Linked DNA regions of Arabidopsis thaliana. The protein of the gene in region 2 binds, or shares a complex with, the protein of the main gene of each other region. Each region holds a gene or a part of one and is shown on either strand. Other genes may lie near its edges.

What was found.
Region 1: CAF1b (region 2) and AT3G58580 share a complex: the UniProt entries of both Arabidopsis thaliana proteins name them as parts of the CCR4-NOT complex.

What each region holds. Positions count from the first base shown.
Region 1 is NC_003074.8:21,660,015-21,666,228, forward strand, and holds AT3G58580 (DNAse I-like superfamily protein), read right to left. Parts: upstream 4,082-6,214; 5' UTR 3,684-4,081; coding exon 3,526-3,683; intron 3,332-3,525; coding exon 2,584-3,331; intron 2,492-2,583; coding exon 2,405-2,491; intron 2,324-2,404; coding exon 2,240-2,323; intron 2,164-2,239; coding exon 2,077-2,163; intron 1,980-2,076; coding exon 1,893-1,979; intron 1,784-1,892; coding exon 1,730-1,783; intron 1,635-1,729; coding exon 1,543-1,634; intron 1,448-1,542; coding exon 1,333-1,447; intron 1,247-1,332; coding exon 1,096-1,246; intron 1,001-1,095; coding exon 852-1,000; 3' UTR 584-851; downstream 1-583. Other genes in the region: AT3G58570 (P-loop containing nucleoside triphosphate hydrolases superfamily protein), read left to right, coding at 1-338. UniProt on the Arabidopsis thaliana protein: Acts as a catalytic component of the CCR4-NOT core complex, which in the nucleus seems to be a general transcription factor, and in the cytoplasm the major mRNA deadenylase involved in mRNA turnover.
Region 2 is NC_003076.8:7,364,960-7,368,837, forward strand, and holds CAF1b (Polynucleotidyl transferase, ribonuclease H-like superfamily protein), read right to left. Parts: upstream 1,841-3,878; 5' UTR 1,483-1,840; coding exon 646-1,482; 3' UTR 518-645; downstream 1-517. Other genes in the region: OFP10 (Ovate family protein), read left to right, coding at 1-320; MS1 (RING/FYVE/PHD zinc finger superfamily protein), read right to left, coding at 2,748-3,878. UniProt on the Arabidopsis thaliana protein: Ubiquitous transcription factor required for a diverse set of processes. It is a component of the CCR4 complex involved in the control of gene expression.

The DNA.
Region 1 (6,214 bases), on a different chromosome or scaffold from region 2:
TGACTCGATACGCATCTCGTGCTTCATTTGGAGGTGGTAAGAACCGGCGGTCTGGTGGACGGTTTGGTGGTCGTGACTTCAGGAGAGAATCTTTTAGTCGAGGCGGTGGTGGTGCTGACTACTATGGTGGAGGTGGTGGATATGGAGGCGTTCCTGGTGGTGGCTATGGAGCAATGCCTGGTGGGTACGGACCCGTACCAGGTGGTGGATATGGAAATGTTCCGGGTGGTGGTTATGCACCTTATGGTAGAGGTGGTGGTGCTTACTATGGTCCTGGAGGATATGGAACCGTTCCTAACCAAGGGTATGGTCCTGGAGTGGCTAGTGCGTGGGACTAAGCTTTAACTTCAATTCTTCAAGAACCGATTATGTTCTCTTTCTCTCTCACTTATCTCTATTGTTTATTATTAGGGAGCAGCCACAGATGTGTATGTTTGCTCTTTAAATGGTTATGTAGTAGACACGAATCGTCTCTTTGTTCAATGTGAAAAAAGAAAACCCCCTAGTAGACCCATATTATTCTCATGAGCTATTTAGTCATACAAAGCAGTTCAAACATTAAAATTGATCCAAGGAAAAGAAAAGTCAAAGGGTTTTCACTATATTGAGGATCAAAATGAGATATAAAAGGAGGTTTAGACAGAGCCACACAGGGGTCATAATAAAGAATGACCAACTTCATAGAGTGGTTTGCCTTACTCAGAATCCCTTTGAATCTTTGTGTCATCTCTATCACAGATTTGGTAAAGGTTTCGTCTAAACAGTTGATGTCATAGTCTGATCAAAGAAGAAGATCGGAACAAAAAAAAAAAACCTATCTGTAAGCAAATGATGGTGGGTGGTGAAGGCGGTTAACCGCGTCTTGTCCTAGGCGTGCATCGAAATTCAGCTAAGAGAGCAATGTGATTAGAAGACCATTCTGGGGAAGGAAGAGCTGTGTCTTTTCTTAATCCATCTTCATCCAGTAATTCCAATAGAGATTCCACCATTAATGTATCCGCTGAAACCCAAACACAAAAAAATCTTCCAATTAAGTTAACTTGTTATTTCTGATGTAGTTGAAAACAAGGACAATGGAGTTAAAAATGGTGAAACCTGTGTAGAATATGTAGTCATGAGTGCCGATGAAGTCCCTTGTACAATTGGTAAACAAAGGCTCGTTTGTATTAAGATCTATTCTCCTTCTGTGTTGTTCCAATCCAAGACCCATTATTCCCTTTCTCACAAACGATGAGTACGCGCTCACCTGAAACCAATTCATTTATCAAATATCCAAGAGAGACGCAAAGATAAGCGGTATAAATTTACTTAAATCGAAAAAAGCAATGTTACCAGAGGCAATTGATGAGTCAATTTGGTGTGAGGACGCAGGATATTAAGGGGATCGACTGCCAGATCTGGGTGCATTGGATCAACCTTTCCCATTACAAGAAGTGTATGAGGTGCACTGTCATAAAAATGCCAAAAAGAAAAACTTTAGCTACTCATAAGAGAATTCTGCATTTCATGTATCATGTCAAAAGAATTTATGAATCAACAAACCTCCCAGGAAGCGTATTGAAGTCTCCACACACAAGCATAGGAATATCGGCACTAGCTGCTATTTTCTCTAGTCCCTTTAATAAGGTATGAACCTAAACGCAAAAGAATAAAAGAAAACATGAGGTGAATACTAATTCTTTCGAGTTCAATGAAATTTGATTTATTTCGGATATAGAGATACACCAACCTGCCAGAGCTTCACATCCTTCAGATCTTGTTGAACATTTACATGTGTGTTTGCCTAAACAAGTTGCCACAACAAAATAAGAAAATTCATTGGCTTTCACTAAAAGAGCATATACAGAAACTAACAGTTCTCATGAGAATGGAAAAAAAAAAAGAACCAGTACCACACAAATAAGCTGGCGCTTCCCAGAAGGATCAGTAGGTTGATTACCAAATTTGGCTTCAAGAACAACTATCAACGCAATGTTATCCTACAACATAAGAATCATTGGTTTCAGTTTTGTAAACAATAACTCTCTGATAATCAGCTGTGGCCCAGAAAAATATTGTATACCATGTCAAAAATACCTTAACCAGTCGGTTTAAAGCAGTTCTCTTCTGAGCCTGAGGGATTAGAGCGTCAGTCAAAGACTGAGCAGCCTTGTTGAATTCAACCTGGATTTACAGTCCATGAATTAGTATAGAGATCTTACTGGATCTAGCAAGTAAACATATAGAACTGAATACAAACATCATATTTCTTGACATGCGAAAACCTATCCCGCCGGAAAAATGTTGCACAGCCGTCAATGGCACTTGTACTTCCGCTGAGAACCTAGCAACAAGAAATTTGTGGTTAATAGATTTTAAAACATAAATCACTGAAGGAAGGAGTGTGTGGAATCATTGACCAAACCTCATTAGTCTTCCTCTTGTAAAGAGCTTGATACCCATGCTTATCCAACTCAGGAGCAAAAATTTCATGGAAATGATCACTTTGTACCTGCCAGATAACAAAAAAAAGAACACATTAGAAGTAGATTTTTCAGAATTAAAATGCTTTAAATCATTACCAAGTCCATACGAATAACATACTTCTTGCAGGCAAACTACATCGGCTCTATATCCAACAATCTCCCTTAACAAATTCTGTCTTCGGTATGGCCATGAAAGAGCCCAAGGAGGACAGTAACTGTAGAGGTCGCTACTTGCAGAAGTATCAGACAAAATGTTATATGAAAGAACAGTGAATGATCCTGCAGACTGAATCCGAGCATCTTGATCTAAGTGACCCATCCCATCAGCTCCGTTAACAGGGATTAGCTTACGGGGGCTTGGAGAAGGAGCAGGAATAACCCGTGAAGTCAAAATGGTACTAGGATGTCCGACAATCTGTTTAGTCTCAGCATTAGCCACAACACACTCGAACTTCAAAACGTGGCTAATATCATCAGCTGTTGGAGTGTACGTTTTGCAACCCCCAACCTCAACTAAAGTCTCTCCTCCATTTTTCTGAGTAATATTAGAAGGATAAAACGGAGCTGGACCATTGTTGGCAATACTAAGATTTGACATAGACCCAGATAAGGAACCAGCGAGAGACCCAGAACCCGCACTGTTATTCCTGTTCAAGTCATCATCCTCGTTTGCGTTGTTTTCCGCAGCTGCTCGCTCGTGCAAAGTCCTGTGATGCTGCCACGCATCCGTGAAGCATTTTGGCGAACAGTGATAGCTTTTTGGAACAAGGGATCTACGCTTAGAACAGAAAACACACTGTAAAGTAGCTTGTTCCGTTGGATGCACACTGCAAATCGTTACTTTCTTATCACTCTGTACACGATACCTACAACAAATAAATCCAAAAAATGAATCTACAACAAGATCAGAACTTTACACACAAAAACCATTTGACGACCTAAATCAGAACATCTACATGAGAAATCTCTGAATTCAGATCAAAATTCAATCTTTGATAAACCCCAATTCGCCAAATGATCCAAGAAAGCAATTAGACAAAGAGCCAATCAGAAATCTAACCATCTGTATCTCAAGAAGTAGCCTTCAAGAGGAGCAGATTCAGGGACGTCATCAGTGGTGGAGTTCTTATCGGGACGACGAACAAGGACGTAAGGAGTCAATTCACAGCCCACAATGGGAATTTCAGAAGGAAGATGCACTCGGATCACGCTCAGCATTGCTTTTCAATAACACCTGGTGATTGTCGAAGAACACTATCGAAGCAGCAGCAGCAGAGATTCAGAATCGAAGCAAGACCTTGATGATGATTATTAGATGATGAATATTGTCGTTGATAACCTAATGAAGTGGAGCGTACGATAGGCTGATCCACCATTTACTTGAACCGAAAACCCGACCAATCTCTAGAAACCCTAGAAAATGTCTTCTTCAGACAAGGTTGAAGATCCGGCAGAACCAAATTAGAATCGAAGAAAAGAAAAAAAGAAAGGAAAATGATGGTATCGAGAAAGCTTATAAGAGATGTGAGATCTTGAAGGAATTTTGTATTAAGGATCGATTCTTTCGCTGTGAATATGGAAAAAATCAATGAAATCGATTTTGGTTTTTTTATGTGTTTTTTTTCCCCGAGTGGGTTTAATACTAAAACTATTATTTTGTGCTTTGAAGACATTATTATGAAATTTTATAATATTTTAATTGATCTTCCTTTTCGATGAAAATTTTGGTTTTGGCGCTCAAAGATTGAAAGTTTTTCGTTTTATTTTTGTTTATATAAAGATAAAATTTTAAAATCTAGAAAATGCGTAAAAACAAATAATCCACAACTAAACATGACTTACCAAAGACAAATCAAGATTTATGACTCGTACCATTACGAAAACAAGATTGGTGACTTAAAAGAAGTGTATTTATATCTATGATAGATTGAAGAAAGAAGGAATGGTGAAGATGAGTCAATAGGTGAGTGTTCAACGCACATTCAGTAGGAGCCAGGAGGTGTAGTTTCTTCGTTAAGATTAAGAGACAAGAAATATCAATTCGTGATATAATTATCTTGAAGACGATTTGTTGCAGATTAAGGTAGAATTAACTTCTTCTTCTTTTTTGTTTTTTTTTTAAAATGTGAGAATTACCCAAGAAGAGCAGCATAGTTTATCAATTCAATTGATCTTCTTAAGAATTGTTGAATTTGTCAAATTAATGAAAGAATCACATTTTAACATTGTCAAAATTGTCATGTTCATTTTCGCTTTTGTTTTCGTTTTAGCTAGTTCATTTGGTTTTCATAAATATAAGCGGTTCAAACCTGAAATAATTAAGGTTCGAATTATGAAAATTTTGTTGGTTTTTAATAAATTTAGGTAGACTAAATTTCATTCTTTTCAGGTTTACTCAATTTTAAAGTATAGAAATTTAAGATTTATATCTAACTTTTGTTGTATTTGATATGAAAAGTTATCGGTTTGTATTTTACCGAATTTAGATAACTATTTACAAATTATTATTTTGAACTAATTATAGAAAACAAATACAATGCGTGTCCAGTAAATCAAAGTTGAGAGATTTCTTTCTCGTTTTTAAGCATTCAACACAATTTTTTCTATTTGTTATTTCGGAGGCCTGAGTCCACATTTTATATGAAGCATAACATGGAAAATAATAATAATTATTATTTTTCGAAAGCGATCTTTTCCAAACAAAGAAGCCTCAAACACTATATACGCTACAAAATAACATCTCGACCTTGTAACAAAGAATGCATTAGATATTTTTTTTTTTAATCAAAATTGTTGAGATGAGCAAAAGCACAGAACGTATTCAACTTTTCAAAAGGGTTGTGGCAGCTGAATATTATTTGTTCTATGATGGTAACTAACAATTTGTTTATTTTTTGTTCTTTATAGTGAAATCTTTTGATTTGATTTTTCTTTTTGTTGTTGTTAGTTTTGTTGGAAGCCGTCAAAGACATACAAAAATTGAAAGTTGATCTAACGATAGAAGAGAAGAAATGCTTAGAAATGGTAAATGAGAATCTATTTAACGAGACAGTAAAGATACTAAAACCGCTCGAAGATATGGGTATGAGGTCTGAAGAAACAATCATTATAGATGATAATCAAAAGATGATTAAAGAGTATTTGGAGGACACCTTCATAGTTTGTCATAAAATATGTAAGGAGATTCAAAAGTTGGGTATTTGCCCTTTGTGAGTTAAGTACTCTTATCGTCCTTTTTCTCTAGAGATTTGGAGGGTTTTTCAATATGAATTAGATATGTAAACCAATATTATTCAAACATGAGGTATAATCTAAAAAATGTGAAAGGAAAGATGGAAGGGATGAGGAGAGCAACCTTTTTTATTAATGATAAAATTTCATTGGAAATGATAAACAAATTAAATTATGGAATAAAAATAAAATTATTCAAAAAAAAAAAGTTGAGTTGATTTTGGTTCATTTAGAAAACCATAATATTAATTCGATTTTCTTTTGTTAAATATGGGCCAATTTGAAAGATCTTATTTGTAAAATAATATGGGCCAGATTGGTCAATTGGACAGATAAAACCGTGATACTGTGGTTGAACCAGCCGGTGCGGTCTAGATCAATTATTTAGTTCCCTGGTTCTGAACTTCAAACTTTGTTCTTGATGTTTATAAAAATCCGAACTTTTAAAATTTCAGACCTTTATTAGAACTTTCTTCATGATGCACGAAACTTAGTTCTTAATTATAACTGAGATCGAT
Region 2 (3,878 bases):
GTCCTAAGATCGATGAGAGCGTCGCGATGGCTAAAGAATCAATCAATCCGTTCGAAGATTACAAGAAGTCGATGAATCAGATGATCGAAGAGAGATATATCGAGACGGAAAGTGAACTTAAGGAGCTTCTAAGGTGTTTCTTGGACATAAACCCTTCTCCTCAACACAATCTCATCGTCCGTGCTTTTGTCGACGTCTGTTCACATCTCCAACCACCACACGACCGACGTGGGAAGTCACTTGGGAGATTGCTTCGTCTATATGTTAACAATCCTCTTGATAACAATGATGATGACTCACACCAAACTTCTTCAAAATGAGGAACTAAATCCTCCTCATATCTCTCTCTATATATAGATGTTACAATATTGTGAATAATTTCAATTTATGATTCCATGACTAGATGTAAACTATTAAACAACACCAACAAAAATCAAAGTTATACCTCAAAGCCTAGCTCTAACGTAACGATAATATTTTACTGCACAAAAAGTTTTGAAGTGTAAATTGGTTAAACAAAACCAAATTGAGTTATTTCGTTTTGGTTTTTGGATTTGGTTAAAACGAGAGATGAATAAGATAATTTCGATTTCGACTGTATAAATGATTAACAAAGATTAATTAAATTAATTAATTATAAATCCCTCAAAAAACCTCTAAACCATACAAAACTCCGGCGTGTTTCTCCGCCCCATCCTCAACGAAATACAAATCCCTCATCCTCTGAAACGCCTGCCACGTCAGCAAACTATCCGAACCGGCTTGATGACATTTCCCAACCGCCCGGTTAACTTCAAGAGACCGAGCAACCCGGTCCAAACCACCATACAATCTCTGCTCACAAAACCTCATAATATGTTTCACATCATAAACCCTATCACCGAAGAAAGCTCTAAGCAACCCTAAAAACTCACGCAACGCCACCGGAAGCTGCCGGCGCGTGAGAATCTTCACAAGGTAACCAAAATCATACGCGCTGTGAAACGTCACCCAGCTCACAGACTCGTTACAGATCAACCCCGATGACATCATCAGCTCCGCGAACCTCTCCGATTCAACACCTTCGCGACGGTTCCGCTCGAAATCGATCCCGTGACGACGGAGTAGCTCGATCGAATCAGGAGCGTGTGGATCACGCTCCACGTCGAAGTCACGGAAATTGAATTCCCAGATGTATCGACGGTTTTTTTGACCGCCGAGATCTGGGAGGTTTCCGTCGGCGTCGGAGAGAGTAAGACCGACTTGGATCAAACTTAAAGCGTCAACGTTGGATTTGAGAAGATTGTAGAGATAATTAGGGTTTCCACGGCGGAGAACGTCGAGATCCGCCTTGTAAATCACGCCGGGAAATTCTGTATCCATTGAGATGAATGGGTAATCTTCGACGATTCCTCTGATTAGGTCAAACTCTGACTCGAGATTATAAGCCCAAACGTCACGAATCACGATCACATCGGAGAGATCTGCTTCTGATTTGATCATAGTTTCAAGTCCCGATCTTTTAGGTCTTCTTCTTCGTTGTGAATTTATCAAAAGTCTGTTTTTTTTTGTTGATTTGGTTAATCTGCAAGGTTTAGTTATATATATGAATGTGAGTAAGAGAGTGTTTACGAGGAAGGAGAGGAGAAGAAGTGTGAGAAACGCGCACGTTTATGATTCAATGTGTTTCTTGACTTAGTCTAAGTTGGCTTCTCCTTCGTGTATCGAATTATTGCAATTCAAGTCGTTGTATTTAAGTAAGTACATTAAGCCGACAAGAATAAGAAGGCCAAGTACATTAAGATTTTCTATTGGTTTTTAAGAGTTGAATAAAACATGTAAACGTTACGACTTACGACCAATGAACTTTATCAGGAATATTGCTATATTACCAATAAACACTGAATATGTAACGACGCACTAAAAACGCATTAAAGGGTTGAATCATTAGATTATGATGATGTCTACACGTATCTGATTGTGCTTTAATGTTTTCACGAAATTGTAGCAACAGCGAAGCCTAGGTTGAGCCCTTTTCAGTTTTCATTGTTCCCTAGTTTACTCATCGAATCTCATGACTTTGTTGGTAGTGTTTAGAAGATTGTTCTTCCAGATTTGGATGTAAGTCCCAATTTCTAGAAACAATATCACAAACGTAGATAGTCCGTGGAGTTTTCCATCTTCAGTCAATATAATAAGAAACTTTTTAGGACGTTGACCTTGAACAGAGTTGTTAAACACATGACTGTTTTTCTTTCATTTCCTTTGTTTGCAATAACTTGATATTGTTCCATGTTAATGAAGAAATAATTTATTAATTCCAAATGCATCAATTGTAAAACTAAATTATTTAAATTATGTAAACCTTCTTTTGTTTGTAATTTTGTTTTTGCATCAATTGTAAGCCTAAATTATTTAAAACACTACACACTTCTTTCTCCGCCTTGTGTTGTGAATTATTTTCTGTTAAAATTTAACTGCCTTTTCTTGGAGACAAGCCTTAAGGTTGTTGTCAAGTAAAACTTGGAATCACGGTTGGAGTAGATGACGTCACATGAGTCATCAGGGGAAGAGGAGAGCGACATGTTGATAATGATATTATTAGAACAGTCAGGCTCCAGAGGAGGCAAGGATATGACTTTGTGATTCAACATGTTGGTGATATAGACGCAGGAGGGATCATTAGAATTCACGTTGATCGAGGAGTATAATTTATGTATTATGACGTAATGATAGAAAAAAAGAAGGTTTAATATAACATGAATGATTTAGGGTAAAAAAGAGAGAGGAATAAGATGTTGATCACAACTTTGACAAAGAAAAATGCGAGGCACTTCCTCATTGTGTTGAACACCAACACACCTTGTGTGTTGCCATACTTCACAAATATCACAACACACCATTCTCTCTCCATCTTCTTCCGTTGCTCCACACTCACACTCTATTCTCTTATCCTTCTTTTTATCATCATCTTCATAACATTTCGTCACTTCAATGTTCATCATCATTCCTACGTTCCCTTCTAACACCAATCCCTTATTCCCATTCAAGGCCATTTCATCGACCCTTGTGATCTCTATTTGACCACCCACCACTGACTCCACCACGACGTCTCTTAGTTCCCAATAGATATCTCTAAACACTCTTTCTGCCTCTCCGTACACTTCACTCAATGTTGCATCTTTCTTCACTACAATGCATTCTTGTGGAGGAACTTTTATCTCGTTGTTATGATGATGACATTTCCACGCGATCGTGCAGAATATTCCTAATTCTTCCCCTCGATCTAAGTGTAACGTTTTCGCCGATGTATCTCTAATGTAGTGATACTCTTTGATGAAGTACTTAGCGTCGAGGATTGCTCTTGAAGCCATTCCGATTTGGTTCAATATACCTCCTATGGGGCCTAACACTCCCTTGTAGTCCATGAGAATGTGTTTGTAAAAATAAAACATGTCTTTCATAACTTGACCTCTTGTGATCTTATTGTGACCGTTTGTCGCCATCTTCCCCATTGAGTTTTGGTTTTGAAGGGTTATGAGTTCATTGTTACTACTTGGTAACAAATTTGATATATCCTCCAAGGAATACTCTAGCACTTTCTTCACCGGATTTAGACTACGTCGGACCAAATAGTTTCCAACCACCTGGTTCCCAAGCGACTTCAACACAAAATCAAGCAAACCAGTGTCCCCAATGTAATTTCTAGCTGCATCCCTCACTTCTTGTCTCGATATCCATCGGTATTCGACTCTTTTCAGTGACTCTATGACCACTTTGATAGCCATTTGGATCCGTTTTTGAGACCATCTGCAGTTGGTACTATCAATGGAGATGATTTGGTTTCGGGAGTTACTCATGTAGTTATCTCTTGGAAGACGTGAATGGAGATGAAGCAT